7 linked regions of the Mus musculus genome follow. Each later gene encodes a partner of the first gene's protein in a complex. Links are inferred from orthologs where the notes say so. Each region holds a gene or a part of one and is shown in the gene's direction. Other genes may lie near its edges. The genes, in order: Gnas, Htr6, Gpr174, Htr1a, Fzd6, Gpr4 and Gpr12.

What was found.
Region 2: the proteins of Gnas (region 1) and Htr6 are in contact, whole or in part, in a cryo-EM structure (PDB 7YS6), measured with the Homo sapiens proteins. The link is inferred for Mus musculus from reciprocal best matches to the Homo sapiens genes GNAS and HTR6. Residues at the interface, in NP_000507.1 of Homo sapiens: Arg38, Ala39, His41, Asp215, Lys216, Val217, Phe219, Leu346, Thr350, Tyr358, Cys359, Phe376, Arg380, Asp381, Ile383, Gln384, Arg385, His387, Leu388, Arg389, Gln390, Tyr391, Glu392, Leu393, Leu394; in NP_000862.1 of Homo sapiens: Arg124, Leu127, Ile128, Pro131, Leu132, Arg133, Lys135, Leu136, Ile211, Gln218, Gln221, Val222, Leu225, Thr226, Lys265, Ala266, Thr269, Leu270, Phe323, Met324, Arg325, Asp326, Lys328.
Region 3: the proteins of Gnas (region 1) and Gpr174 are in contact, whole or in part, in a cryo-EM structure (PDB 8IZB), measured with the Homo sapiens proteins. The link is inferred for Mus musculus from reciprocal best matches to the Homo sapiens genes GNAS and GPR174. Residues at the interface, in NP_000507.1 of Homo sapiens: Lys34, Gln35, Arg38, Ala39, His41, Val217, Phe219, Thr350, Asp354, Gly355, Tyr358, Cys359, Tyr360, Phe376, Cys379, Arg380, Asp381, Ile383, Gln384, Arg385, His387, Leu388, Arg389, Gln390, Tyr391, Glu392, Leu393, Leu394; in NP_115942.1 of Homo sapiens: Phe44, Tyr47, Arg53, Ala54, Val55, Ile56, Phe57, Met58, Ile112, Arg115, Arg116, Phe119, Leu120, Met121, Pro123, Phe124, Phe126, His127, Asp128, Cys129, Gln131, Ser211, Leu212, Asp214, Met218, Gln220, Asp221, Leu222, Glu224, Lys225.
Region 4: the proteins of Gnas (region 1) and Htr1a are in contact, whole or in part, in a cryo-EM structure (PDB 9GL2), measured with the Homo sapiens proteins. The link is inferred for Mus musculus from reciprocal best matches to the Homo sapiens genes GNAS and HTR1A. Residues at the interface, in NP_000507.1 of Homo sapiens: Ala39, Asp215, Lys216, Val217, Arg342, Arg347, Thr350, Ala351, Gly355, Tyr358, Phe376, Arg380, Asp381, Ile383, Gln384, Arg385, His387, Leu388, Arg389, Gln390, Tyr391, Glu392, Leu393, Leu394; in NP_000515.2 of Homo sapiens: Asn69, Ala71, Asp133, Arg134, Ala137, Ile138, Pro141, Ile142, Tyr144, Val145, Asn146, Arg148, Ile218, Ala222, Arg225, Ile226, Lys228, Thr229, Lys232, Val233, Asn325, Arg327, Asn328, Lys332, Arg339, Lys342, Thr343, Thr346, Leu347, Asn404.
Region 5: the proteins of Gnas (region 1) and Fzd6 are in contact, whole or in part, in a cryo-EM structure (PDB 8JHB), measured with the Homo sapiens proteins. The link is inferred for Mus musculus from reciprocal best matches to the Homo sapiens genes GNAS and FZD6. Residues at the interface, in NP_000507.1 of Homo sapiens: Gln384, Leu388, Gln390, Tyr391, Glu392, Leu393, Leu394; in NP_001158087.1 of Homo sapiens: Arg226, Ala310, Lys314, Ser316, Cys317, Val396, Gln407, Lys409, Leu410, Phe413.
Region 6: the proteins of Gnas (region 1) and Gpr4 are in contact, whole or in part, in a cryo-EM structure (PDB 8Z9O), measured with the Homo sapiens proteins. The link is inferred for Mus musculus from reciprocal best matches to the Homo sapiens genes GNAS and GPR4. Residues at the interface, in NP_000507.1 of Homo sapiens: Gln31, Lys34, Gln35, Arg38, His41, Asp215, Lys216, Val217, Tyr358, Tyr360, Phe376, Arg380, Asp381, Ile383, Gln384, Arg385, His387, Leu388, Gln390, Tyr391, Glu392, Leu393, Leu394; in NP_005273.1 of Homo sapiens: Gln45, Arg49, Asn50, Leu52, Asp114, Arg115, Ala118, Val119, Ala120, His121, Pro122, Leu123, Arg124, Arg129, Arg130, Lys132, Tyr201, Ile204, Ala207, Val208, Gly210, Ser211, Val212, Ser213, Thr214, Glu218, Lys221, Ile222, Leu225, Asn290.
Region 7: the proteins of Gnas (region 1) and Gpr12 are in contact, whole or in part, in a cryo-EM structure (PDB 7Y3G), measured with the Homo sapiens proteins. The link is inferred for Mus musculus from reciprocal best matches to the Homo sapiens genes GNAS and GPR12. Residues at the interface, in NP_000507.1 of Homo sapiens: Gln35, Arg38, Ala39, His41, Val217, Asp323, Asp343, Leu346, Arg347, Thr350, Tyr358, Cys359, Pro361, Phe376, Cys379, Arg380, Asp381, Ile383, Gln384, Arg385, His387, Leu388, Gln390, Tyr391, Glu392, Leu393, Leu394; in NP_005279.1 of Homo sapiens: Met79, Arg138, Ser141, Leu142, Tyr143, Ala145, Leu146, Tyr148, His149, Ser150, Glu151, Ile220, Ile223, Val224, Arg226, His227, Ala228, Gln230, Ile231, Gln234, His235, Phe237, Lys248, Gly249, Thr252, Leu253, Ile300, Arg304.

The regions. Positions count from the first base shown.
Region 1 is NC_000068.7:174,345,052-174,347,244, forward strand, and holds the end of Gnas (protein GNAS), read left to right. Parts: intron 1-23; coding exon 24-78; intron 79-176; coding exon 177-250; intron 251-331; coding exon 332-511; intron 512-597; coding exon 598-728; intron 729-938; coding exon 939-1,006; intron 1,007-1,190; coding exon 1,191-1,337; 3' UTR 1,338-1,693; downstream 1,694-2,193. UniProt on the Homo sapiens protein: Guanine nucleotide-binding proteins (G proteins) function as transducers in numerous signaling pathways controlled by G protein-coupled receptors (GPCRs).
Region 2 is NC_000070.6:139,059,206-139,062,388, reverse strand, and holds the end of Htr6 (5-hydroxytryptamine receptor 6), read left to right. Parts: intron 1-156; coding exon 157-315; intron 316-525; coding exon 526-969; 3' UTR 970-2,683; downstream 2,684-3,183. UniProt on the Homo sapiens protein: G-protein coupled receptor for 5-hydroxytryptamine (serotonin), a biogenic hormone that functions as a neurotransmitter, a hormone and a mitogen. Also has a high affinity for tricyclic psychotropic drugs.
Region 3 is NC_000086.7:107,290,378-107,293,877, forward strand, and holds part of Gpr174 (probable G-protein coupled receptor 174), read left to right. Parts: intron 1-1,645; exon of another isoform or gene 1,646-1,681; 5' UTR 1,682-2,167; coding exon of another isoform or gene 2,168-2,206; coding exon 2,207-3,214; 3' UTR 3,215-3,500. UniProt on the Homo sapiens protein: G-protein-coupled receptor of lysophosphatidylserine (LysoPS) that plays different roles in immune response. Plays a negative role in regulatory T-cell accumulation and homeostasis.
Region 4 is NC_000079.6:105,442,216-105,446,492, forward strand, and holds the start of Htr1a (5-hydroxytryptamine receptor 1A), read left to right. Parts: upstream 1-1,477; 5' UTR 1,478-2,038; coding exon 2,039-3,304; 3' UTR 3,305-4,277. UniProt on the Homo sapiens protein: G-protein coupled receptor for 5-hydroxytryptamine (serotonin). Also functions as a receptor for various drugs and psychoactive substances.
Region 5 is NC_000081.6:39,004,821-39,009,079, forward strand, and holds the start of Fzd6 (frizzled-6 precursor), read left to right. Parts: upstream 1-1,459; 5' UTR 1,460-1,612; exon of another isoform or gene 1,613-2,249; intron 2,250-2,404; 5' UTR 2,405-2,566; coding exon 2,567-2,743; intron 2,744-4,259. UniProt on the Homo sapiens protein: Receptor for Wnt proteins.
Region 6 is NC_000073.6:19,211,065-19,215,337, forward strand, and holds the start of Gpr4 (G-protein coupled receptor 4), read left to right. Parts: upstream 1-1,473; 5' UTR 1,474-1,570; intron 1,571-4,273. UniProt on the Homo sapiens protein: Proton-sensing G-protein coupled receptor activated by extracellular pH, which is required to monitor pH changes and generate adaptive reactions. Activated by an optimal pH of 6.8-7.2.
Region 7 is NC_000071.6:146,582,440-146,586,673, reverse strand, and holds the start of Gpr12 (G-protein coupled receptor 12), read left to right. Parts: upstream 1-1,434; 5' UTR 1,435-1,929; exon of another isoform or gene 1,930-1,939; intron 1,940-2,269; exon of another isoform or gene 2,270-2,548; 5' UTR 2,549-2,563; coding exon 2,564-3,568; 3' UTR 3,569-4,234. UniProt on the Homo sapiens protein: Promotes neurite outgrowth and blocks myelin inhibition in neurons. Receptor with constitutive G(s) signaling activity that stimulates cyclic AMP production.

The DNA.
Region 1 (2,193 bases):
ACCGTGTCTCCTTTTCTTTCAAGCTTCCTGGACAAGATTGATGTGATCAAGCAGGCCGACTACGTGCCAAGTGACCAGGTACGCGTGCGCCTCTGTCCTCAAGCCTGGGGTTCCACGTTGCTGGTTCTTCTCCGGGCAATTAGGGTGAGACCTACTGACCCCCCTCTTTGTTCTAGGACCTGCTTCGCTGCCGTGTCCTGACCTCTGGAATCTTTGAGACCAAGTTCCAGGTGGACAAAGTCAACTTCCAGTAAGTGAATCGTTGTCCCGCCCCAACTATCTGGCCTGGAGAGTGGTGGGCCCAGGGTAACCCAGTATTTTCCGGTTCCAGCATGTTCGATGTGGGCGGCCAGCGCGATGAGCGCCGCAAGTGGATCCAGTGCTTCAATGATGTGACTGCCATCATCTTCGTGGTGGCCAGCAGCAGCTACAACATGGTCATTCGGGAGGACAACCAGACTAACCGCCTGCAGGAGGCTCTGAACCTCTTCAAGAGCATCTGGAACAACAGGTGCGTGGGGTCTCCCTGACTTGGCTCAACCTGTAGGTCTGCAGCTTGCTCTGGCCCCAGCTCTCACCTGGCCCCTCTCTCCTCAGATGGCTGCGCACCATCTCTGTGATTCTCTTCCTCAACAAGCAAGACCTGCTTGCTGAGAAAGTCCTCGCTGGCAAATCGAAGATTGAGGACTACTTTCCAGAGTTCGCTCGCTACACCACTCCTGAGGATGGTACGGTCATGGCGCTGGTTTAGTCAGGTGGTTCTTGGGCACAAGGTGTGGCTGAGAGTCCCTAGCCCCTCCCACTATGGGGAAGCCAGGGACATTTATTTCCCTCATTTTCATAGGCAGAGATCAAGAGTTTGGGGGTGATGAGCTACAATGGTGTCAGACTAGGTCTTCTAAGCTAATTAGCATAATTAATAATTTTTTTTTTTGTAGCGACTCCCGAGCCGGGAGAGGACCCACGCGTGACCCGGGCCAAGTACTTCATTCGGGATGAGTTTCTGGTGAGTAGGACTTGTAGTCCCTTACTCCTCCTCACGAGTATTCTCCAGTCAGTGCTGGATTTGGAGACTGAGCGGTCCAGGCCTTCCATTGTATTGTACTATGAGTTGATGGCTGGTCCTCTGGTGGTGGGGTGAGGGGCTCCTGGAGAGGGTTGCTTGACCGAGCCCCTCTCTCTGCCTACAGAGAATCAGCACTGCTAGTGGAGATGGGCGCCACTACTGCTACCCTCACTTTACCTGCGCCGTGGACACTGAGAACATCCGCCGTGTCTTCAACGACTGCCGTGACATCATCCAGCGCATGCATCTCCGCCAATACGAGCTGCTCTAAGAAGGGAACACCCAAATTTAATTCAGCCTTAAGCACAATTAATTAAGAGTGAAACGTAATTGTACAAGCAGTTGGTCACCCACCATAGGGCATGATCAACACCGCAACCTTTCCTTTTTCCCCCAGTGATTCTGAAAAACCCCTCTTCCCTTCAGCTTGCTTAGATGTTCCAAATTTAGTAAGCTTAAGGCGGCCTACAGAAGAAAAAGAAAAAAAAGGCCACAAAAGTTCCCTCTCACTTTCAGTAAATAAAATAAAAGCAGCAACAGAAATAAAGAAATAAATGAAATTCAAAATGAAATAAATATTGTGTTGTGCAGCATTAAAAAATCAATAAAAATTAAAAATGAGCAAAATACGGTGTTGCTCTTTGATTTGCGGCAAGTGGGTCCCAGGGTCCATGGGTGGGATTGGTCTCGGCACCCACTGGGAGGTGGAGAACAGGTCCCAGGGCTAAAAGTGGGCTGAGGAGTTGGCACTATAGACTGGGGGAACCTAGTTTTTGGCGCATCAAAGCTTCCACCCATTATCCTGCCCCCAGGCAGTTGCTAGCTGCCCTTTGACCAATTACTTCCCCGAATGAGGCAAGCAGCCTACAGAGAAGGCTGGGGATGTGATGGGTGGGGGAGATGGGAGTTATTTGGGAAACATTTGAAAGCATTCCCACTCCAAGATGAATTAGTGAAAATTAATTAAGCACATTTAAGTTAAGAGTTTTGGGCATATGATTGGGCATGTGATGGGGCACATGTGGGGAGGCCTAACACATGATTGGGCATAAGATGGGGGCATACGCATGGGGGCCCAACATATGCTTGGGCATGAGAAGGGGGACACATGGGGGACCAACATATGA
Region 2 (3,183 bases), on another chromosome or scaffold:
TGGTATTCTAGGACTTGGTCTTAGTGCCTCAGCTGGGGACCAGTCAAGGATCAGGGCTCAGTTAATTGCTGGTATGCTAGGACTCAGTCTAGTGTTAGGGTTGAGGTTCAGTCTGTGACTAAGATCAGCCAACTTATATGGCTTTCCTTTCCACAGGTGCCCAGGACACCACGCCCAGGGATGGAGTCTGCTGACAGTAGGCGTCTGACCACCAAGCATAGCAGGAAGGCCTTGAAGGCCAGCCTGACCCTCGGCATCCTGCTGAGCATGTTCTTTGTCACCTGGCTGCCCTTCTTTGTGGCCAGCATAGCTCAGGTAAAAAAAAAAAAAAAAAAAAAGACAGTGAAGATGGAATTAGTCTAGGCCTGGCCAGAGAGAGAGATGCCATGCTTCACTGGGCAAAGGTGGGAGGGAGGAGGATGGCTCATCTGTGCTAGTTGTGTCTGTGTGTCTGTCCTGTCCCTGCTGGGTGGGGTAGCCTGAGTCCCTGCCTGGGACAAAGTGTGACAAGTCTTCTCTCCACAGGCCGTATGTGACTGCATCTCTCCAGGTCTCTTCGATGTCCTCACATGGCTGGGATACTGTAATAGCACCATGAACCCTATCATCTATCCCCTCTTCATGCGGGACTTCAAGAGGGCCCTGGGCAGGTTCGTGCCGTGTGTCCACTGTCCCCCGGAGCACCGGGCCAGCCCCGCCTCCCCCTCCATGTGGACCTCTCACAGTGGTGCCAGGCCAGGCCTCAGCCTGCAGCAGGTGCTGCCCCTGCCTCTGCCACCCAACTCAGATTCAGACTCAGCTTCAGGGGGCACCTCGGGCCTGCAGCTCACAGCCCAGCTTTTGCTGCCTGGAGAGGCGACCCGGGACCCCCCGCCACCCACCAGGGCCCCTACTGTGGTCAACTTCTTCGTCACAGACTCTGTGGAGCCTGAGATACGGCAGCATCCACTTGGTTCCCCCATGAACTGACCAGGTCAAGAGCTGGCCAGCGGAGGCCACATTCCCAGAGGCCTCAGCCCATTCTCCCTAAGAGTGGGAGGTGGTAGGTCTCCCGAGAGCATGCCGAGTGTCCTGAGGGATCCTCGGCTAGCCCCCATCTTCTACTTGAAGGCTCCTTGACATGAGAGATAATCTGAAACATCGTAGGGTATTCCAGTACAATGTTGCTTGTGGTTTGTGTAGTGTGGCTGGCGGGGGGTGGGGGGCAGTGTCTCGGAGCTGTGCCATTTGGTTCAGTTCAGCAGGAAAGCAATCAGTCCTCAGCCCTTTTTGTTAAGTGGGAAGAACGTATTCCTCTAGACACCCCAGTTCCTGACTGGCCCAATCCTGTTATCCAAAGTGCCATCTCTGGGTTGTTGGGGTTCCTGTAGGCTCTGGGGAGCTTATTCAAAGTGCCCACCCCTCTGGAGATGGGCTCAATCGACATTGTATGTTCATGAGCTTTGCCAAGTCTGCCTTTGCTGAACTTTCAGACCTGCCAGCCCCTAGGAGGGGGGTGGCAACTTTAAGAAGTAGCTTAGGCTGGAGGCTGGGCAGCCAGAAATATGACCTTTTCCTCAGCTGTATGCTGCATTTCTTGGGCTTGGCACAGGTCTCAAGGTAGAGTAGGAGTGATACCACCTGTAAGACAATGTGGATGGTATGCCCAGAACCTGTGAGGGGCCAGTGGGTGGTAAATCCTATTGCTTTAACTCTTGGTTAGCCGGATTCTGGCTCTGGTAGAAGGGTAGCAAGTGTCCCTCCCTCCTTCTTCCAGCCTTCCCTCCCTCTCTCCCTCCCTCCCTCCCTCCCTCTCTTCCTTTTGTTTTGATTTGTTCTAGGCTCTCAAGTAACTCATGTTTCCCTATGTGGCCAAGGATGACCCTGAACTTGTAATCCTCTTGCCTCTACCTCCCAAGTGCTGGGGTCACAGGGATACACCACACACCAGATTATATGGTGCTGGGGGTGAAACTCAGGGCTTCATGCATTCTGGGAAAGCACTCTACCAGTGGAGCTGTGTCCCTAGGGCCTCCTGTTTTCTGTTAGGTCAGCCTCACATATACTAGGCAAGCGCTCTCCACGGGGCCACATCTCAGCCCCATTGTCTATTCCAGCCCAGATTGGGCTCCCAGCCTCCTTGCTTTGCTGGGTGGAGACTGTACCACTCAGGGACTCTTTCTAGTCCCATCCTGTTCTTCTGCCTCTAGAGGCCCAGGGGATGGTGACAGATCCTGTACAACCTTAAGTGTGGGTTTCCTCTACCCCAGCTTCCCCAGCTGATGGAGGCAGAGCAGCCCCTCATCCTGCCTGTCCCCTTTGGTTCTTCCTAGGGTCACTGAAAGAAAGAACAGCTGCTTGGGTAGGCAGCATACAGCTGAAGAGGGATGTGTGCCCCTGGCTTGGGGGTGAAGCCACAGACAGGCAGGTGGGCTCTGGTTTGGCACGGGGCTTGCATTTGTGGGTAAGGGCAGGGGACTCCCTTACTCCATGCTGCTCCACACTGAATTCCCCTTCAGCAGCTGCAGGTCTTTCTTTGAGCCTGTGTTCCAGCGACCCGGGCTCCCGGACTCTCTCCCTATGGCCAGGAGCTCTCCTTGGTGCTGACCGTGCTCAACTGGGCCCTGGCAGCAAGGCTCTGGTGCTTCCGGCTTTCTCTGCCACTGGGCCTGCCTGAGGGACTCAATAAACACAAGCTGAAGGACGTGGATGTGTGGTGGACTATCTCCTACTGAAGCCCCAGGTGCTTGGAAAACAGTTGTGTAAAGGTCTCTCCACCACAAGTGTCCTGGGCTCTGATCTGATTTTGTGCCTAGCATGTTCTGTGACACTCTCCCTAGCTCCCACAATGAATCGCTGTCACTTTTCTATGGGGACACAGTAGTTTGTAGTAAAGGTAGCATGAATGGCATATATGTTTGTAAAGTGGATAAGTGACACAGAATGGAGGGGCACTGAGTTTCTGAATACTGTGGCACCCACAGCCTTCCATGGGACTTATTTCTCCACATGCACAATGGGGACAGGCCACTTCTGTCCCTGCCACCGAGGGGAGGTGGGAGGAACAGAAAAGATGCAGACACAAGGCCTTAGAGCTCAGGTGAGAGGTCCCGAGACTAGACTTGATAGCAATTCCATCTCTGATCATCTGCGTAGCCTTCAGTGGGTTTCCTAATTACACAGAGGCCCAGTTTCCCCAGCATA
Region 3 (3,500 bases), on another chromosome or scaffold:
GGGAGGGGCTGAGATTCTTCTGAATTTCTAACAGGCTCCCTTCTTGTTGGCTTAGACATTTTTTGTAACAAAGTGCTGGATTATTTTTCAAGTTCCTTCTCATTTTACTTTTCTGCACTTTCTAGAACATTGGTTTTCAACCCTCCTAACGCTGTGACACTTTTATAGTTCCTCATGCTGTGGTGAGCCCCCAGCCACAAATGTTTTTTGGTGCTACTTCATAACTGTAATTTTACTAATGTTATGGATCATAATATAAATATCTGCATTATCTTGTGGTCTCAGACAAACCCTGTGAAAGGGTCATTTGATCTCCAAAGAGGATGTAACCTGTGGGTTGAGAACTGCTGTTATAGAACCTGTAGCATATTAATCCCCACTCAAATCAAAATTCTATTAATACTAATATATTTTTATACATGTGCTTTATTTTTTATTTTTCCTATATACAATGGATTTTGATCATACACACATACACAACTCCATTCCACCTTATCCAGGCTTCCCGATATGGCTCCCTCACAAATTTGTCATCTTCTGTTTTGTTTTGCGTTTTTAAATAATATACTGAGTCCATTGCAATCTGCTTACACTGGAGGGTGGGAAACCTACCAGGAGCCATACCAACAAAGAAAATTATTTTCTCTCCCCCTAGCAGTTATCAACTGCCAGTAATTCCACATCTAGGGACAAGGCCTTGTTCATACTGGAATTTTGATAGGATTAATCTTGAGCATGTGAACCTAGCTTCATATAAATTCATGACTGCAAAAAGAATCTTAATTCACATATAGGATAGCCTCCAGATGGGTTATTGGTTAGGGAATCTCCAGAGAAACACCCCCTCAAAGAAAAATACAAGTCAGGCTACTGCTATTGTTTGTGGTTGCCCACTGTAATTAGATGGTCATATCCTAGTATTGCTGAAGATACCACATATTTTGGTTGTAATACATATAAGAATTAATTTTAAACTGACTTGGAAACTTCTTCCTGGCTAGCCAGTTTTTATTGTGAGGGTGATACTATTAGGCCTCTGGAAGAAAAAGACATTAATAGTCTTCTCCATGTTGTAATACTAACCTGGGGATAGAGTAGGGAAGACATGCACTACGGTGCAATAGTGGCACAAAGATTGGGGAGATAAACAACTACATTCTGATTGGGTTTAAGGTCTGTTCCATAGAAGGAAATTTGTGAGTGACACTGTAAACCTTACCAAAAGCTTATGGCTAGAAAGGCCATCTGCCCTAGAGGAGAATCTACTGTGTTGTTTTGCTAAAACATGATCATATTAAAATGCTTTCTAAATATTTGTTTGTACCCACAGCTCTGTGATGTTCTCAACCTTGGTTAGAAAAGCCTCTTTTTGCAGTGGGAAGCAATTAATGCAGAGACTCCTAACTGACCAAAATGCTAAGACTAAGTGACTATGACTTCTTAGCCCTAAGCAAAATTAGATATCACCCAAAAAAAAGTGAGGCTCAGGAAATATTAAGGATAAGAAGAGTAAAGAATTTAAGACCTAGATGATGGGGAGGAATTTTGTGAAGTGTTGTTTTCTGGATATGATGTGACCATTAAACACTAGTTTTTCTTATTTAAAAACGCTAGGTGTAACAAGTTTATTTTCTTTTACTTGCAGGTTTGCCTTTTATTCTCTCTCTCTTCTTTAATGCAGATCTGAAAAAGTCTTGGGAAAAAAAAGAACCATCAAAATAAGTCATCTTCAAACAGTGGCTGAGCCAGCCTGCACTGAAGCAAACCTTTCTTCTCTGTGTGCCAGATGTCTCTCCCCAAAAGAACATGAAACGTCCTTCCAAACACCTGTAAAGTGATAACCATCATATGGGAATTTGAGAAGTTGATGTATGACATAGTTATGAATCAAATGAGAAATATCCTCTTTCCATGATGTCCTGGCCTGGAAGACCTTACCACAAAATAAACAAGAGAAGAACATTTTAACAACTTTTCATGTGTGCTTGCACAATGGATTTCTGTGGTTATGTATACAAAGCTGAGGCATAAATACAGCCAGGTTTTTTTAGACTTCCCAAATCATGTGTAGAGGCTAACAATTGTGGCAAAAGTTTGTTTTATACTCTGTCTCTCTGAGCCACTGACTTGTGGACAGTACAGAAGTTACTTGTGGATTTAAATTTGAATGACCAGTAGGCAAAGAAAATTTCTCTTGGAAATAATCATGACTGATAATTTTACATGTAACAAGACAGATGGAGACAATACAGATTTCCGGTACTTCATTTATGCAGTGACATACACTGTTATTCTTGTGCCAGGTCTTATAGGGAACATATTAGCCTTATGGGTATTTTACGGCTATATGAAAGAAACCAAAAGGGCTGTGGTATTTATGATAAACCTAGCCATTGCTGACTTATTACAGATTCTCTCTCTGCCACTGAGGATCTTTTACTACTTGAACCATGACTGGCCATTTGGTCCTGGTCTCTGCATGTTTTGTTTCTACCTGAAATATGTAAACATGTATGCCAGCATCTACTTCTTGGTCTGCATCAGTGTGCGAAGATTTTGGTTTCTCATGTACCCCTTTCGTTTCAATGACTGCAAACAGAAATATGACTTGTATATCAGCATTATTGGCTGGCTGATCATCTGCCTTGCCTGCCTGCTCTTTCCTCTCCTCAGAACCAATGATGATACTCCAGGTAACAGAACCAAATGCTTTGTGGATCTTCCTATCAGGAATGTTAATCTGGCCCAATCTGTTGCCATGATAACTATCGGAGAGGTGGTTGGGTTTGTTACTCCTCTTATGATTGTTTTATACTGTACCTGGAAGACAGCTTTGTCATTACAAAATAAATATCCCATTTCTCAACATCTTGGAGAGAAAAAGAAAGCCCTGAAGATGATTCTGACCTGTGCAGGGGTGTTTCTAGTTTGCTTTGTACCTTATCACTTCAGCTTTCCTTTAGATTTCCTGGTTAAGTCCAATGAAATTAAGAGTTGCTTTGCCAGAAGAGTGATTCTAATATTTCATTCTGTGGCCCTGTGTCTGGCAAGCCTGAACTCCTGTCTTGACCCAGTTATATATTATTTTACCACTAATGAGTTCAGAAGACGCCTTTCAAGACAAGATTTGCCTGATAACATCCAACTCCATACAAAATCATACAAAATTGCAAGTAACCATGCCACTTCTACCGTGGCAGCTGAACTATGTTAAATAAAACCCAGAACTGAACATGGCCTGGAATGCAAATACCAGAACACATTTGCAGTACCTCATCAAGACAGTATTCACAGGAAGTATTCATAACCTTTCAGTGTGGTCTATATTACTTACATGGGGAATGCACATATTTATGACAATACCTGTTTAGAATATTGCATTTCAATATCATTGCTGGTGACATGTCCATGCGGTAATGTTGGACCAACTCTTTAAGACGTAAATGGTGAAATTTTGATAATACTGCGCACATATTCTCTCAGCTAGAGTCATCAGCTTT
Region 4 (4,277 bases), on another chromosome or scaffold:
ATCAAATTATTTCTTTATGCAAAAGGTAATACTGTCACCATCCCATAATAAAACACTTGAGTTCTAATAACACAAGCTGCTGCACCACAACATAAGTAGCTGAAAGTGTTTTCTGCCACTGTTCCTATAGATTTTTGTGAATGATAGATGTCATAAGCTTTCAAAGGGAGCTAGAAAATATACTTGGCTTGGTATAAAAACCCAAGGGAAAGAAAGAGAAAAGAAATGGTTGAAGAAAAAATTTAAAGTGACATTTAAGGATTTTATTTATTTTATAATATTCTAGCCTTCCTAATGCTGTGATCCTTTAGCACAGTTCCTCATGTTGTGCAGTGCTCCCCAACCATGATATTATTTTCGTTGCTACTTCATAAGTAGTAATTTGCTACTACAAATATTTTTGGAAGTATAGGTTCACAGATTGGGTTTTGATACATTGGTTGTAAATAGATATCGTAGAGTCTTTGGGTTTCCTTAATACTTACTTAATTTTTTAATGACAAATATTTCTAAATGGCGCTCTGAAGCACTTGCCGGAAGGTGGCGGCATAAGCAAGCTCTTACTACACAGAGCTGTCCCGGGTGCTGAACCCAATTTCAGAGAGACTCGCAGTTGCTGGAGACAGGGATGCCACTAAGTTCCCTGGAGGGCTGCAGACTCCAGTGAGAGAGACATAAGTCCAAAGACCAGTAGAAAAAGAAAGCCATTGTTAACAATATACAGGCAAACAATTTCTTTCCATGAATTTATTTGCTTCAAATCTATGGGAAATGTTAATATCATTGATATGAAGAGAGTGACTGAAGAGTGTGTGTTTGGAATACACACTTAAGTGAATTTTTAATGTTTTCTTTGAGATTAGACTGTTTTCAGATCCTGTCCTCCAACCTGTCCTTTCTAATTTCCCTCCAATACACAAGGATAATATGAAAAGGTCACAGGCACCAGTGATAGGTTAATATGGTAAATGAACCTGTTTCTTAAGAAGCTGAGACCCACATTCTCTACCTGATAATGTAGAGGGTAGAGTTTAGAAGGTGGTCGACTCAGCTTCCCATCCTTCAGAGTCTCTGAGGGTTTTCCTCGTGCCTGATAGCCACACTGTGAACCTGGCTCTATTTAAGAAGCTGACAGAAATAAAGGGGATCTGCGGTGGGGAAATATATCTTTCTATCTCTTTCTTTTATTTTATTTTTTCCTTTTGTCTTTTTTCCCCCTCTAGTTTAATAGGTAAGAGGCGGGGTTTAGTATGTTAAAACATTGATCTGACTAGCAGATCAGAGTAGATATATGAAGTGAATTCTGAGTGTGGTGTGGACTGGAATGTAAAGACTCCTGGCTACAGGGAGAGGAGGGCGGGGACCCAGAAGAAGGAGGCACTCGGGACTAGGGAAGTGTTGGATGGCGGTGGGGGTTAACGTGGGAGGAAGGGAGACTAGCTGTCTGAGCGACACACAGGACTAAAGAAAGAGAGGTGAGAAGGAAAGGGGAACTGGAAGGGAAGGCCAGTGGGAGGAAGCCGGGAGAAGGAAGCTGGGAAAAGAGAAGCAGACTGGAGAAGGCAGGAGAGATGGAGAGACAGAGAGAAGGAACTAGGAGATGAGGGTCATCGAGTGACCCGGGAGGATGGGGTTTCTGGAATCCAGAGACTTCTGAGACTATTAGTTACTCGGGAGAGTCCGGCCCCCACGCAGCCAGTTGGACAGCGACAAAGTGAAATGGACAGCGCGAGACAGATATTACAGCCATCTCTCCAGCACCCAGAGATTTGGAAGATGCTTTCAGCCCAACTACAGTTTCCTAGCTGGAGCCTCTGAGCGCTCAGGACCCGCGGGAGCCAAGCAAGAGAGCGCCGGTGAGTGCTCCTCTCAGATGCCTTCGCCAGAGCAAGTAAGAACTTCCCGCTCCAGTCTCTAGATCCCCTCCCTTCGAAACTCCCCAGAAAGGAAGGAAGACCCTAGGGGGAGGGGCGAGGGAGATCCCCTTGCATTTCTTTTTCCCTCCCTTCCCCCCACCCCAGCGGGAGTGCAGGCAGGCATGGATATGTTCAGTCTTGGCCAGGGCAACAACACCACAACGTCCCTGGAGCCCTTCGGGACAGGCGGCAACGATACTGGCCTCTCCAACGTGACCTTCAGCTACCAAGTGATCACCTCTCTTTTGCTGGGGACGCTCATTTTCTGCGCGGTGCTCGGCAATGCCTGCGTGGTTGCTGCCATCGCCCTGGAGCGCTCCCTTCAGAATGTTGCCAACTATCTCATCGGCTCCTTGGCGGTCACCGATCTCATGGTGTCAGTGCTGGTGCTGCCCATGGCTGCTCTGTACCAGGTGCTCAACAAGTGGACTCTGGGTCAGGTCACCTGTGACCTGTTTATCGCCCTGGATGTGCTGTGCTGCACTTCGTCCATCCTGCACCTGTGCGCCATCGCGCTAGACAGGTACTGGGCAATCACCGACCCTATAGACTACGTGAACAAGAGGACGCCCCGGCGCGCCGCTGCGCTGATCTCGCTCACTTGGCTCATTGGCTTTCTCATCTCCATCCCGCCTATGCTGGGCTGGCGCACCCCGGAAGACCGCTCGAACCCCAACGAGTGCACCATCAGCAAGGACCACGGGTACACCATCTACTCCACTTTCGGCGCTTTCTATATTCCGCTGCTGCTCATGCTGGTCCTCTATGGGCGCATCTTCAGAGCCGCGCGCTTCCGAATCCGCAAGACGGTCAAGAAGGTGGAAAAGAAGGGAGCGGGCACCAGCTTCGGAACATCGTCGGCCCCGCCCCCCAAGAAGAGCCTGAATGGTCAGCCAGGTAGTGGGGACTGCAGGCGCAGTGCTGAGAACAGGGCGGTGGGGACTCCGTGCGCTAATGGGGCGGTGAGACAGGGTGAGGACGACGCCACCCTGGAGGTGATCGAGGTGCATCGAGTGGGCAACTCCAAAGGGCACCTTCCTCTGCCCAGCGAATCAGGAGCTACCTCCTATGTCCCCGCCTGCTTGGAGAGAAAAAATGAGCGCACTGCTGAGGCAAAGCGCAAGATGGCCTTGGCCCGTGAGAGGAAGACAGTGAAGACACTGGGCATCATCATGGGCACCTTCATCCTCTGCTGGCTGCCCTTTTTCATTGTGGCCCTGGTCCTACCTTTCTGTGAGAGCAGTTGCCACATGCCTGAGTTGTTGGGTGCCATAATTAACTGGCTAGGCTACTCCAACTCCCTGCTCAACCCAGTTATTTATGCTTATTTCAACAAAGACTTTCAAAACGCTTTTAAGAAGATCATCAAGTGCAAGTTCTGCCGCTGATGATGATGATGGTGGTGGTAGTGGTGGTAATAGTGGTGGTGATGGAGAAGGAAGAAGTGGAGGAAGAGTGTAGGGCTTACAGGACCCTTCCTGTTCACTCAATATCCCCGCCCTGGAAGCAACACCTAAGAAAACTTGCTTTTCCTAGAACACGCAGCTTCTTAGCCCATGGCTTTCAGATCTTCTCTCTCTATCTCATTTTAAGGGGACAGTGCTTTTTGCAGAAATCTTAGAGAACCCCTAGCATCTGTTTGTAAAATTATTGGCTCGGTCTTTGGCCCTAGGATCAGTTTTGATAGTTGCAATAACCTCCTCTCTATTCGAAATCCCAATTCTTCACGATGGAAGTTTAAACCTCGGCGATTCAAGGAAGAAAACCCAAACAGAAAATATAAACTGTATGGACATCTACCATGCCCACTAGGACTGCCACCCTCTGCCCTATATCTGGAACTTTGAGGTTCAAGACTGCTCTGTCTCTCCCTCCCTCTTGCTCTAGAAACATCTGTTCCCTTTGGGTGTCAATGTACACTGCTGATTCTGGTCTCCATGCACTCACGGCTGGTCTGGGAAAGTTGGAACTACTTTGGGTTATGGTGCCCTGGAATTGTTTGCCTTGCTGAATAGCAAAAGATCCCTTTCCCCAATGCACAGCACCCACTTTCTGTATTTTGTTTGTTTGTTTGTTTTAACTCAAAATCAAGTGACAAAGATGTCTGCTGGAGTGGACTTATAAGCAAGAAGCCAGGCCCAAAAGGAAGAGCCAAGAAGGCCTGCGGATGTTTTCCTGTCCTGGTGTCAGCACTCACCAAAGAAATTGACAATCAGACTATTTGGAAGGAAGAGTTTTATTCCTGTAGTTTGTTGGCTTTTCTGTAAGTTCTGGAAAGGCCTTGTGGACTGCAGAAGGCGCCCACTGCTGGCCAGGGAGGGCTCATTGAGGGTGCTGAGATGCCCGGGATGGCTCACCTCA
Region 5 (4,259 bases), on another chromosome or scaffold:
TTCAACCAACAGCTCTCACTTTGTATTCCAGGCTGACATTCAGTTCGCTCTGAAACCTCGGTTGGTCTTGAATTTGAGATCCTTCTGTCTTGGCCTTTCAAGTACTGCAATTCCAGGCCTGTGCCACCACACTCAGCTGAGATATATTCCTTCTATATAGAAACTTAACATTTTTCTGAGAAATATTCTTCCCACGTAGAAGGTTAATTTTCTACATAGAAAACATCTTACATAGAAACCCATTTTTCAATACATAAACTGTCTGACTTTTAATAATATTAAGATTAAGACAATTAGTATTAACATTTCTTTAACATGGTCTCGTCCTTTACAGTTGTCCTAAGCTTTTTTTTGTTTAGTTTTGTTTTCAAGGCAGGGTTTCTCTGTGTAGCCTAGCTGTCTGGGAACTCAAAGGTCTGCCTGCTTCTGCCTCCTGAGTGCTGGGACTGAAGATGTGTGCAACCATGACCGGCTTGTCCTAAGTTTTTTGATAAAGCTGGGAAAGAGTTCTCCAAAATTCATCTCTAGTTGATGTTTCCAGATTTCAAATCTTGTCTGGTTATTCGGTGGTGTCCCAAGTACTGAAATGTGACATTTTTCAGCAGCACAGTGATTCAGCTAACAGCAGTCTCCATTTAAAAGTTATTTTACAGGCTGGGACTGTAGCTTAACATAGTAGGCATGCTAGTACCAGTATGCACAAGACCCTGGGTTCTATCCCCATTAGGAACAAGAAGAAGAAGAAAAGAGGAAGAAGAGGAGGAGGAGGAAAGAAGAAGAAAGAAGAAGAAGAAGAAGAAGAAGAAGAAGAAGAAGAAAAAGAAGAAGAAGAAGAAGAAAGAAAGAAAGAAAGAAAGAAGAGAAGACACTTTGTGTTTGCCAACAAGTTCCTTTGTACCTCATACCAGAGTCCTACATATCAGGCATTATTGAATGTAAAGGACTCAAAAATTAGTAACCATTCTTGTATTCATTTATCATGTCTACATAGAGAGGACTCTACACATCCCCACGCCCCTTTTTGGTAATTTATCTGAAGTGATGGTGGCAGAGCTGGTTCTCAAAACCACGTTGACTAAAGCAGTTAACTTTCTGTGGGGCTTTTGCAGCAGTAAAGCTGTAGAACCGGCCGAAGCTGGCACCTGCCGTTCAAGGTGGTGGCCAGACTCCCCGAGTTAATAGGCTTTTCAGCCAAGAACTCAGGAAGTTCCTCGCTAACTCTGATCTCAGCTACCACTCACTACAGAGCAGATCCCCGCGGCTAAGGCTCCTCGCTTCCAGAACGGAAAGTGTGCTCTGCAGGGCACTTCCCCAACGGCCTGGGTCTCACGCCTGGGTCCGCGGTGCGAGCGGAGGCGACAGCTCGGCGGCCCCCGCACCGCGGCCGGCTGGGCTGGGCGGGGCGCAGGGCCGGTCCCGCCGCCGCGAGCCCCAACCTGCCCGCCCGACCTGGCGGCGCAGTCTCGCGGGATCGCCCAGCTCTCGCTCCCCGTTGCGGCCCCGGAGGCGGTCGAGGCCCGGACGCTGCCCCCCACCGAAAGCTCGCCCCGGCTGTCTGGGGTGGCGGGGCCGCGCGACGCCGAGGGACAGCCACCTTCCTCTGCCGCCCGAGGTGAGGCGTCCCCGGCCCGACGGGGCGGGCGGGCAGCGGCCGGGATCGGAGCCGCAGGTGCGTCGCCTCGGAGTCCCACGCAACTCCTGGAAAGTGACTCTGGGTCCCCGCAGGCCGGGGACGGAGCTGCTCGGCTGCAGGCCGGGAACAGGTGCCCGACGCGGGACCCCGGGGGCTCAGGGGAGCCTCCCGCAGTCCCCATGAGCTGACCGTGGAAGGTTTGCGCTGGGTGGAATTCGGGGTACAGGGGGCACGGGGTGAGCGCGTTGAAGGGGAAAGTGCTGGAGGTGAAGAAGCGCAAAGGAGTCACCACCCAGGCCCACTCTTCCTAGGGGGACCTCGCTCAACCCCAGCAGACTGATTTTCGCCTTTGCGAAAACAGGAAAGGCACATCCGCAGAAGTCTGCGATTGTAGAGAGAGCTAAAGTTGAAGAACTCTGTCTGGGTCACTTGTCCTCATTTTCCCCATATAGTGAGATGGCCAAGGGGCCCCTAGACCCCCTTTCTTCTAACCACCATCACCCCTTTCCTCGCTCCAACTTGCTTATGCCGTGCCTCCTCTTACCCGGTGTTTTAGACAGTATAACCCTTCATCAGCAGTTCCCTAGAATTGAGGCTTCCTTAGCAAAGTGATACATCCGCGCCCGGGCAGGTGGATATGTCTCTTGCTAGGATGGAATTTTCCACATTTTTTTCTTTCTTTGTAGCATTAGTTACCTAGCATGACATTTGACTTGGATTTGACTTTGTGACGAATGTTACTGATAACACACTTTGGGTTTGTTTTTACAGCAGTTGCCCCAGAATTCATTTTCAGGAAACAGCTTCTATCAAAATGGTACAAAGAATGCAATGAGGAATTTGTACATTTTATCTCTGATTTGAGAATCTTTTTGATGCGGAAAGGAGCATAAGAATAATCCAAGCCATGTGGTAAAATCGGAGTCTGGCAAGATGGAAAGGTCCCCGTTTCTGTTGGCGTGCATTCTTCTGCCCCTCGTAAGAGGACACAGCCTTTTCACCTGTGAGCCAATCACCGTTCCCAGATGTATGAAAATGACTTACAACATGACGTTCTTCCCTAACCTGATGGGTCATTATGACCAGGGGATCGCTGCTGTGGAAATGGGGGTGAGTGGATTTTCATGCCTATATTGAAAATTAGTTTATACGTAGTATTTTTCTCTTAACTATTACTTTTTAATCTTTAAACATAGTTTTTTTCCCAATCATATTTTTTAAAGTAGTTTTGAACATTAAGTTCCCCTCCTCCCGCTGTCATATTTTGTCTACAGTTGGACGGTTAGTTAATTTGCTTATAAAAAGGTTGCATTCATAATGAAGGGTGCTTACAGATAATAAAAATATTTTGCTTTTTTGAATTTGTGTCATTGCTTCTCCAAGACTGTGATTTCTGAATTTTTAAATTTTTAATATTTATTTGTTTGTTTGATTTTTCAAGATAAGGGTTCTTCTCTGTGTAGTCCTGGCTGTCCTGGAACTCACTCTCTAGACCAGGCTGGCCTCAAAACTCAGAGATCCACCGGCCTCTGCTGGGATGTGTGCGCTACCACGCTCGGCCCCAAATTCTGAATTTTTTTAATGGTTGACTGAACATATAATCTATATTGCTTGAGCTAAAATGAAACTTAAATGTTTTTTAAAAGTACTTGTCAAATTCATTTGACTTAGTTTTCCCAAAGCTAATAAATTATTGGAATGTTTTGGCGCTAAAGAGAATGTTTTACTAAAAGGTGACTTTCAGGCATAGCATGTAAGTGTTTTCTTTATATAAGATACTTGCTAAAAGAAAGTCCACTTGTAGGGCGAAGGGCAGTGTGACACTAACAATCGCCTCAGGCGCCTCAGTTACCTGACTCTGGTTTAGAGATATGAAAATGTCCCAGGAGGTGTGGGAAGAAAGAGCTGCCTGTAGAGACAGGAACCTGCCACACAGATCTGCTGGGTTGATAAGTTTCATGAAGAAAAAAAAGACAAGGGTATAGGTTTTGTAATCTTTCCCTAAAAAAGCTGAAGCCAGTAAAGGTTTTTTCCTCAGGTTGTCTCTGAGAGACGAAACTCCTAGAAATATAATCTAGAGAGGGGTTTTAAACTTAACTGTATTTGATCTTGCAGCTTTGAAGGTCTTCCTTTGTCTGCTGGAATAGTTAGTTGTCTGACTACCTCTTTGTAGACAGACTCCTGTCTGGGTTGGGTGGTTTTTAAATACTAAGATATAATTTTAAAAGATGTACAAGTTATAGTGTTTTAATCTTTGAGTAGTTTTTCCCAACTAGTGCAAAACCCCCCTCTTTTTTACCAGATGGGTGGGGCACTGAGGACTGAGCACTGAGCCTCTCAAATACTGCAAGGTCTCGCCCACTCAGCTACATCCTCAGCCCTGCAAGGCGTTCTGTTGAACACTCTACAAAGAATACAGGGAGACTTCCATTGATAAATCAGACCCATAAGTGTATAGTGGATATCATCACGCAATAATTACATTGTTCAGTCTGGCCGCCTCTGATGATAATGTTTTTTAATACATGCTTTAGTAAGGGTTCAGAAAGCATTTTATTTTAATCTGGTTTCCTCTCTTTATAGTAGCTACATACATTTTAGGTTTGAATGCTGACAGTGACCTTAG
Region 6 (4,273 bases), on another chromosome or scaffold:
GACCTCTCTGAATCTCTAATCAGCCAGGGTTACATAATAAAATCTTGTCTGAAACAACCAACACAATACTGAGTGGTATACTCAATAACAGAGCCCTTCCTAGAATCCCCCAGTGAGGGCTGGGGTGTGGCTCAGTGGTAGAGTCCCTGCCTAGAATCCCCCAGTGAGGCACTGGGGTGTGGCTCAGTGAGAGAGCCCCTGCCTAGAATTCCCCAGTGAGGGCTGGGGTGTGGCTCTTGCCTAGTGTGTGTAAGGCCATAGGTTCTATCTTCTCAGCCAAGATAAAATAACTATGTAAACTAGAATTGTAAACACCATCACTGCTGTTGTTTTTGGAGGGCTGTATTCCTGTTGGATCAGAAGTCCCTGAGTCTATAAATGACCTCTCAGGACTAATTTGTGCAGGAAGTGACCGACCGAGATAAAAAGAGGGCAATGCGGCTCTTTGGAACCTTTGCACACTTCCTGAAAACAATGGGAATTTCACTTCCAGGCAACAGACACACAAGAGTAATCAACCTGAACTCAAGAATGGCCCTCCCGCCAGCAGGGAGGCTGATGATCAGGAAAGGATAGAAACGTACAGTCCTGGCAAAGTGAGGTGTTGAAGTGATCTATGGGTACATCAGACTTTTAGAGGGCAGACTAGGGTGTCCTGGACAGCCAAGTCGAAACGTTTTAAAGATAGAACTTCATTAGCCCACTTTGCCCTCAAAACTCTCAGCTATCCTCCTGTCCCAGCCTCTCAAGTGCTGAGAGAGTGCAGGCATGCACAGGTACCCCAGAACGAGACTTTTTTAAAATAGATTTTACATTATGCTCTCTGTGAAGTGACAAGAGACAGGTTGAGAAAAGGACTGTGTCTGACTACTTTGACTGTGGAAGAAACAGAGGCAAGGCCTAAACTCTGACCCCCAAGGCTCCTTCGACTTGAGGTGGATACTTAAGAGGCCACCATGTAACATGTTTTCCTTTACATTTATCTATCTGAGGTGTATGGCACCGGACAATGCAGAGGTCAGAGGACAACTTGCACAATCCCATTCTCTCCTTCCATCGTGTGGGTCCTGGGGATTGAGTTCAGCATCAGTAGCAATCGCCTGTCTGCTGAGACAAACCCCTTTGTTCTGGGTCCCTTAGAGGGATAGAGGGATATGGAGAAGGTTATTAACAGAGGCCTGCAGGGAGGGGGCTCTTCAAAGAAGGAAGCAACAGGAAGGAAGGTCCCAAGCTAAGCTACCTTTCCCAGAAGAAGGCTTAAATTCGAAGTGTGGAATTGGAGAGAGGGTAAGGAAGGAGTTAATGGATTGTACCCCTGAAGCAGCAGGTGAGATTTCCAGGCTTGAGTTCCTGAGGTGGGGGGGGAGGACGCGGTGGGGTGCAGGGGAGCGGCAGAGGAGGGGTTAATGGGGGCGGGCCTGGCTGGGGCGGGGCCTGGGTTCCGACTCCAGCCCCGGGCCAGGGGTTGTCGCTGCTGTCCTGCCCCGCGGGGGCGCCCGCCGGGTCCCTGTGCTGTGCAGAGTCGGGACCAAGTCAGAGACGCCGGTCGCCCAGCCCAGCCGCGGAGCAGGTGGGTGCTATCCCTCCGTTCCCATTCTACCCCTTCTCAGGTCCAAGACTCTGGGTGGCCGCTCCGCTGCCTCAGTCTCCCCGCAGCGACCCCTCTCCGCCACTCGGCTCTGGAGAACTCATCTTTTCTGCTTCTCCCTCCTGAGCCTGGGGTCCCTAAGATCCCCTGCCTCCGGGTCTCTCTCATTTCTCTCTCTCTCTCTCTCTCTCTCTCTCTCTCTCTCTCTCTCTCTCTGTCTGTCTCGCGGGCGCGCGCGCACACACACACACACACACACACACACACACACACTCGATCTCACTGCATACCATAAACTATCTTTGAACTCACTCTCATGCCCACATTGACCTAACATTCACGGCAATCCTCCTGCCTCAGTTTCCTAGAGTATACCGGGATTACATGTATATGTCACCACACCCGACTCTCCACCCTCTGGCGTTTTATAGACAGATTCTGTCTGTACAGTTCAGGTTTACCTTAAACTGGCTGGCCATCCTCCTGCCTCAGCCCCTTAAATGTTGTAGGTGTTCTTCAGCAACAAACCCAATGGACTCTATTTCTTTATCTTTTGGGGTCCCCTACCTGCTCTTCCCATCTGCCTCTGGATCCCTTCTACCTCATCCTTGGCCTCCATTCCCTTGTTTATGTGAGACCCCCTCCTTTTTTTCTTTGTATGTCCCCAACTCAAACAAACCCCAACTTTGTATATCCATCTCAGTGTGTCTCTTCCCACCCTCTCTTTTCTGGTTCTCTGGCTCTTAGTGCCTCTGCCCCCATCACTCTCCCTACGTCCTGAGACATCCTGGAACCTTTTCCTCAAGGTTGTGGGGCTGCTTAGGATTGGGGTAGGGGACAGTGGGATTGCAATCCAGAGCAAATGGACTCTGAGTGACACCATGACTCTAGTACCTACTTTGTAGTCACCCATGGCTTCTGAGGTCACACCTACCCCACCCTCCTGTCTCAGGAATTCCTGGCTGGGGGTGGGGGTGGGGGGGAATGGACTTCCTTCCTCCCTTCCAGAATTTTGGCTGGGTCTCTGTTAACTCCTTCCTGCTTTGTCTTACTCCCCTTCCCTGGAACTGAACTCCTGGGCAGCATTTCTCAACCGGGCTAAGACAAAGCTCCAGAATTCCCAAAGCTTTGGTGGTGGTGGTGGTGGTGGTGGTGGTGGTGGTGGTGGTGGTGGTGTGTGTCTCAAGCTGGATTCGTACTGGGGACACTAGTGTAAATGATGGGGAACACCTTGGCGCTCCTTCTAGACCCTCCGACTAGCTACACCCCCTGAAATCTACCAAAAGGGCTTCCCAGCATGTCTCTAAGGTTGAACTTGATCAACTTGGGGTTTGGGGTTCTCCTAGGAATGGCTACTGAGTCAGATGGGCAAGGGTTCCCAACGCAGACCACCTGGGAGCCCTGGAGGCTGGCATGCCGGTACCTGACTGTTATCCCAGCACTAGGAAGGTGAGAGGCAGGAGGGTTAGGAGTTGCAGGCCAGCCTGGGCTACATGACACGCTGTCTCAAAAGACTCTTGTAGTGGCACAGGCCTGTAGCTCAGGCTGAGGCAGGAGAATCTTAGTCTAAGGCCAGCCTGGGCCAATTTCTGTCTTTGAATGATAGATAGGACCTGGAATGCTGAAACCCTGACAAGCACAGAGAACCAAGGCCCTTTTGATGTTCTGGCCCTTTAATCTGTGCATATGCGTGCTGATATCTTGAAAGTTTATGCTACCCACAGCTGTGTGCTACAAAACACCTGTGGGAACCACACAGGCCACGCCCCTTCCATTTTACACACAGGGAAACTGAGGACTTAGAGCAGAAGTAAGTTACCGCCAGCCTCAGGGCTTAGGACTCTTGCCTAACCGCAGCCCATATCCGGAGACCTAGGTTCCCTTGACCATATCTGGAGACCTGAATTCTTGCACTACCACTAAGTCGGATTAATTTGGGCAATGAGGTCCGCTAAGTGAGTAGGGAGCTGTGCCAGACTTGGGTATGAATGGCTGGAGACCAGAAGGGAGGGTTTGCAGAGCGAAGCAGAAAAGATATTTCTGAGGGCTTGCTGGTGGAGAGAGAAAGGGACCAGAGGTGGCCTGGCCTGAGGGGTTGAGGGGGAGGAGTTTCAGACAGACAGACAGACAGACAGAAGCCAAGTGAATTAACTCCACCCCTGTCTCCTGACCCTCCCCTCAAAGCCCACTGCTCCCCCGGGACAGGGCCTATAATTTGGTTTGTGTCTAGACAAATAATAACTCAGCTGGTGTGAACAGGGAGGGACGAGGCCAGACCGCTGAGCAAGGGGTCAGAAGCAGCCTGGGTTTCTAGGTTCGTCCCTTCTGAGGTGGGGAGAATATAATTTGGGGGGGCAAGCGATCAGCTATCCTGATCCCCCAACTCTGTGAACCTTCAGCACCTCAGAATATTTTAAGTCAGAGCAGGAATGTGGGGGGAAAGAGGAAGTAGGGTTCACCTATTTACAAAGCGTTCTCATTTCGGCAAAGAGCGAAAAGGGAAACGTGTATTCATTTGCTGGGAAAAGATAAAAATCACCCAGGGTTTAATAATAGATTATGAAAGTCATAGCGTGTGTTTTATTTTATTTTATTTTTTTCTTTTTTTTTCTGAAATCATAGAGGGTTCTAACAATAGAACTTCAGAATCTTGGGGCCGGGAGACGCCTGGAATATTGGAAACTG
Region 7 (4,234 bases), on another chromosome or scaffold:
TTTGTGTATATGAAACCATTGACCGCTTTTTTTTTAAACAACCTGTTTATTTTATGTATATTAAGTGTTTGCTTGTATTGTGTGTACCTTGTGCATGTAATGCTCCAGGAGGCCAGAAGAGGGCGTCGTATTCCCTGGAACTGGAGTTGCAGATGGTTGTGAGTCACCTTATACGCGCCTGGAACTGAACCCAGGTCCACTGCAAGAGCAGTCAGAGCATGTAACCACTGAGCCACCTCTCCAGCCCCACATTGCTCATTTCCCATTGCTCTGTTCTAAAAATGCTTCCGCTTATTACAAAGAAATGAAAAGAGACAGGAGCATCCCTTCACAGCAGTACCTGCTACCTGGGATAATGTTGATTTTTGTCTTACCACTGGTCCAGGGTGTGTCTGTGAGTGCTAAGATAATGTCTTCGTGAATTTGTTCACGCAGGCTTTCAAACGGTCCTTGACGCAAGTGATGTCTCCTTTCCATACACACGACTATTAAACTCCATAGAACCTCGTTTCTTAAAGTGTGACCCGCAGGTCGGCATCACCAGCATCTTGGGACTGACGCCGGGACCCCAACCCCAGAACTGCTGGTTTCTAAGTCAAGTTTCAGAAGTGTTGCCGCAGGGAATACAGGACTCAGAAAGAGTCCTGGAGCCTTTTGGGGGACATGAGAAGACTCAGCAGAAAACTCAACAGCTCCACGTGTCCCAAAGCAGAATGTCCAGGGAGAGAGTTCAGAAGCAGTGTGAGAGCTCAGGTTGGGCGGAACGGATCTGCTGCATTATGGCAAGGTCACACCGGGTTTAGTGTGTTGCCTTAGTGAGAAAGGGGGAAGGGGCGGCTAGAGGAAGGTTGTAACCAGGGAGGTGAAGGGAGGGTTTTGGTACCAGGAGCATGACACGGTAGAGACAGCTGCTGATGGATGCGCGCGGGGCTGGGGCTGGGGTGGGGGAACATGGGGTAAAAAGAGATCTAAGACTTGGAGCCTGGTAGGCTGGAGTAGGAATTTCAGTGAGACACAGGGGAGGCAGATGCATCTGATGATAACCCCATATGAAGGGTCCTCAGGATCCTTTGCCTTGCACAACATTGAGGTCACACGGAAATAGGACTTTTCTCCTCCCACCTTTAGGCTGGAGAGCGTGATTAAATTTAAGATCTGATCCGGTTCCAGGATGAGAGACACAGGCTAGTCCTTTTCCGGCAGGCAACCTTCAGGATCTTAACCCTAGACTCCGCGGATGAGGTACAGGAAACAATAAATTAATAAGTGTCACTTGGGTACTTAAATGAATTGGGTTTGGGCCAGTGCCTGAAGGAAGCTTTTGCAAGAATGCCCTAAATGATTTCCACTCGCGAACGGCTCCGAGAGTGCCTAATAAGTGCAGCTGGGCGATCTAAGTAGCAGCAGCTCCTATCCAGTTAAGCGAACGTCCCCAAGGGAACAATAATTTGCAGACCGGCCAACTGCAATCTAAGAGAGGGAGTCGCTTGCTGTTGTAAGTCTCCTCCGCCAGCCCTAACCTGCTTACCCCGCATTCCTCCTGTTCATCCCGAAAACCCGGCCGTTTACAATTCTTTAGGGGAAAGCATAAGAAGCCGAGCCCCAGGGTCAAGGGCGCCTCGGGGAAGCCACAGGATCAAAGTAGGTCGCCAGACTCTCCGGCCGTTCGAGTGGGTCTTCGCATGACTGTTGCAGGCGGGCGTCCACGGTGGCGGGCTCCCGCCCCTCACGCAGCTGCGACCTGCGGGGGCGCGCGCAGCCTCGTGGGGTTCCCGCGGATGCGCGCCCGGCGGGGAGCGCGGAGGGCGGAGAGCCGGGCGCGAGCACCGCAGCTCACCTGCCGCGGGCGCCACCACGGACGTGCCACGCGGGTGGCCCGAGCTATTCGGCAGCACTGAAGGAGCCACCCCTCGGCCAGGGCGTGCCAAGGTGACCCCCGGTAACCCCCTGCCCCGCAGGCTGCGCGTCCCCGCTGCTAGGGGAGCGGTGCCAAATGCATGCATATCTTTCTCTCTGTCTGTCTGGGCACCTCTGTGGTACACACCTACCTTTTTTGTAGCCCTTGCACTCTGAGCGGTGCACATGGGAGAGACTGGGACCCCACCCCTTTGTTTGAGTCTGGAGGTGTGTTTGGGGGTGTGCTCGCGCGTGAGGTATGTTTGGGAAGGGTGGGAGTTTGGGGCCCTTAAAATATTCCACCCTCCTGCAGACTTGTGGCTGCTGGGCGGTGCTCTCTCAGCAGCCCAGATGTCAAACAGTTGTTGGTTTTCGGCATGGGAGATGCAATTAGCCAATGTCGGTTTTCAGCGTTTTGGCAAGTGTGCGAGTGTGCATGTGCCGCCTCGGGAGTCCTGATCCGTGTTTCCCTCAGAGACAAACAGCATTTCGGTTGCAGACTTTAGCTTTTGTTTTTAATTCCTGAAGCTCGTGGCATTTTGACACTGATAGCTGAGCCCAGGGTTGTCTGTCTTTCTCTGTGTGTTTTGCATGATCTTGGATTGGCACCCTACTGTACCCAAACATTAAAAAGCCTGTCTTTCCGTTGAAGAGGACAGGGGTTAAAATGAACGAAGACCCGAAGGTCAATTTAAGCGGGCTGCCTCGGGACTGTATAGATGCCGGTGCTCCAGAGAACATCTCAGCCGCTGTCCCCTCCCAGGGCTCTGTTGCGGAGTCAGAACCCGAGCTCGTTGTCAACCCCTGGGACATTGTCTTGTGCAGCTCAGGAACCCTCATCTGCTGTGAAAATGCCGTTGTGGTCCTTATCATCTTCCACAGCCCCAGCCTGCGAGCCCCCATGTTCCTACTGATAGGCAGCCTGGCTCTTGCAGACCTGCTGGCTGGCCTGGGACTCATCATCAATTTTGTTTTTGCGTACCTGCTTCAGTCAGAAGCCACCAAGCTGGTCACCATCGGACTCATTGTCGCCTCTTTCTCTGCCTCTGTCTGCAGTTTGCTGGCTATTACTGTGGACCGCTACCTCTCGCTATATTACGCCCTGACGTACCACTCCGAGAGGACCGTCACCTTTACCTATGTCATGCTAGTGATGCTCTGGGGAACCTCCATCTGCCTGGGGCTGCTGCCCGTCATGGGCTGGAACTGCTTGAGGGACGAGTCCACCTGCAGCGTGGTCAGACCTCTCACTAAGAACAACGCTGCCATCCTCTCCATCTCCTTCCTCTTCATGTTTGCTCTGATGCTTCAGCTCTACATCCAGATTTGTAAGATTGTGATGAGGCACGCCCATCAGATAGCCCTGCAGCACCACTTCCTGGCTACATCGCACTATGTGACTACCCGGAAAGGGGTCTCGACCCTGGCTCTCATCCTAGGGACCTTTGCTGCCTGCTGGATGCCTTTCACCCTCTATTCCTTGATCGCCGATTACACCTACCCTTCGATCTATACCTATGCCACCCTCCTGCCCGCCACCTACAATTCCATCATCAACCCTGTCATTTACGCTTTCAGAAACCAAGAGATCCAGAAAGCCCTCTGCCTCATTTGCTGTGGGTGCATCCCTTCCTCGCTGTCTCAGAGAGCTCGGTCTCCCAGCGATGTGTAGCAGCCTTCTCCTCATAGGACGCTGCCTCTACCAAGCGCTCCCACCTCCCAGGGCGGCCAGTGATTTCCTTCCTTAAATTCTTTGCACTGGATCTCACAAGCAGAAGCAATGACATCTTTTAGACACGTATTGACAGTGGAAATCATCTTACCAGTGTTTTTTAAAAAAAAAACAAAACAAAACTCGACTTCTCGGCTCAGCATTCTGTTGTTTGGTTTGGGAGTTAGGATTTGTTTGTTTGTTTGCTTGTTTGTTTGTTTGGAGGGTGTAATGGGACCTCATGTGGCCATGAAATTATACAAAAGTCTCGGGATTTTTTAACCTAGGCTTGAAAATAAATCAAAGTTTTAAAGGAAACTGGAGAAGGAAATACTTTTTCTGAAGGAAATACTTTTTTTTTTTTAATCAAGGTAGATCTTCCATTCTGTATGTATCTAACAGGATAGGAGCTTTGCCATATAACCAAAATAGTTTATATAATTACATTTGGAAGGGCTTGTGTTTATTTCTAGGAATTCAGTAATAAGTGACCAGTAACAGAGGCGCGAACTCCTTTCTTTCCTTTCAGCAGTAGTGACTGCTCTTAAGAATCACTTTGCAGTTTCTCTGTGTTACAGTTTGGTATGCATGGTTACCTGTGGTAGTCAGATCACTAATTGCAATATT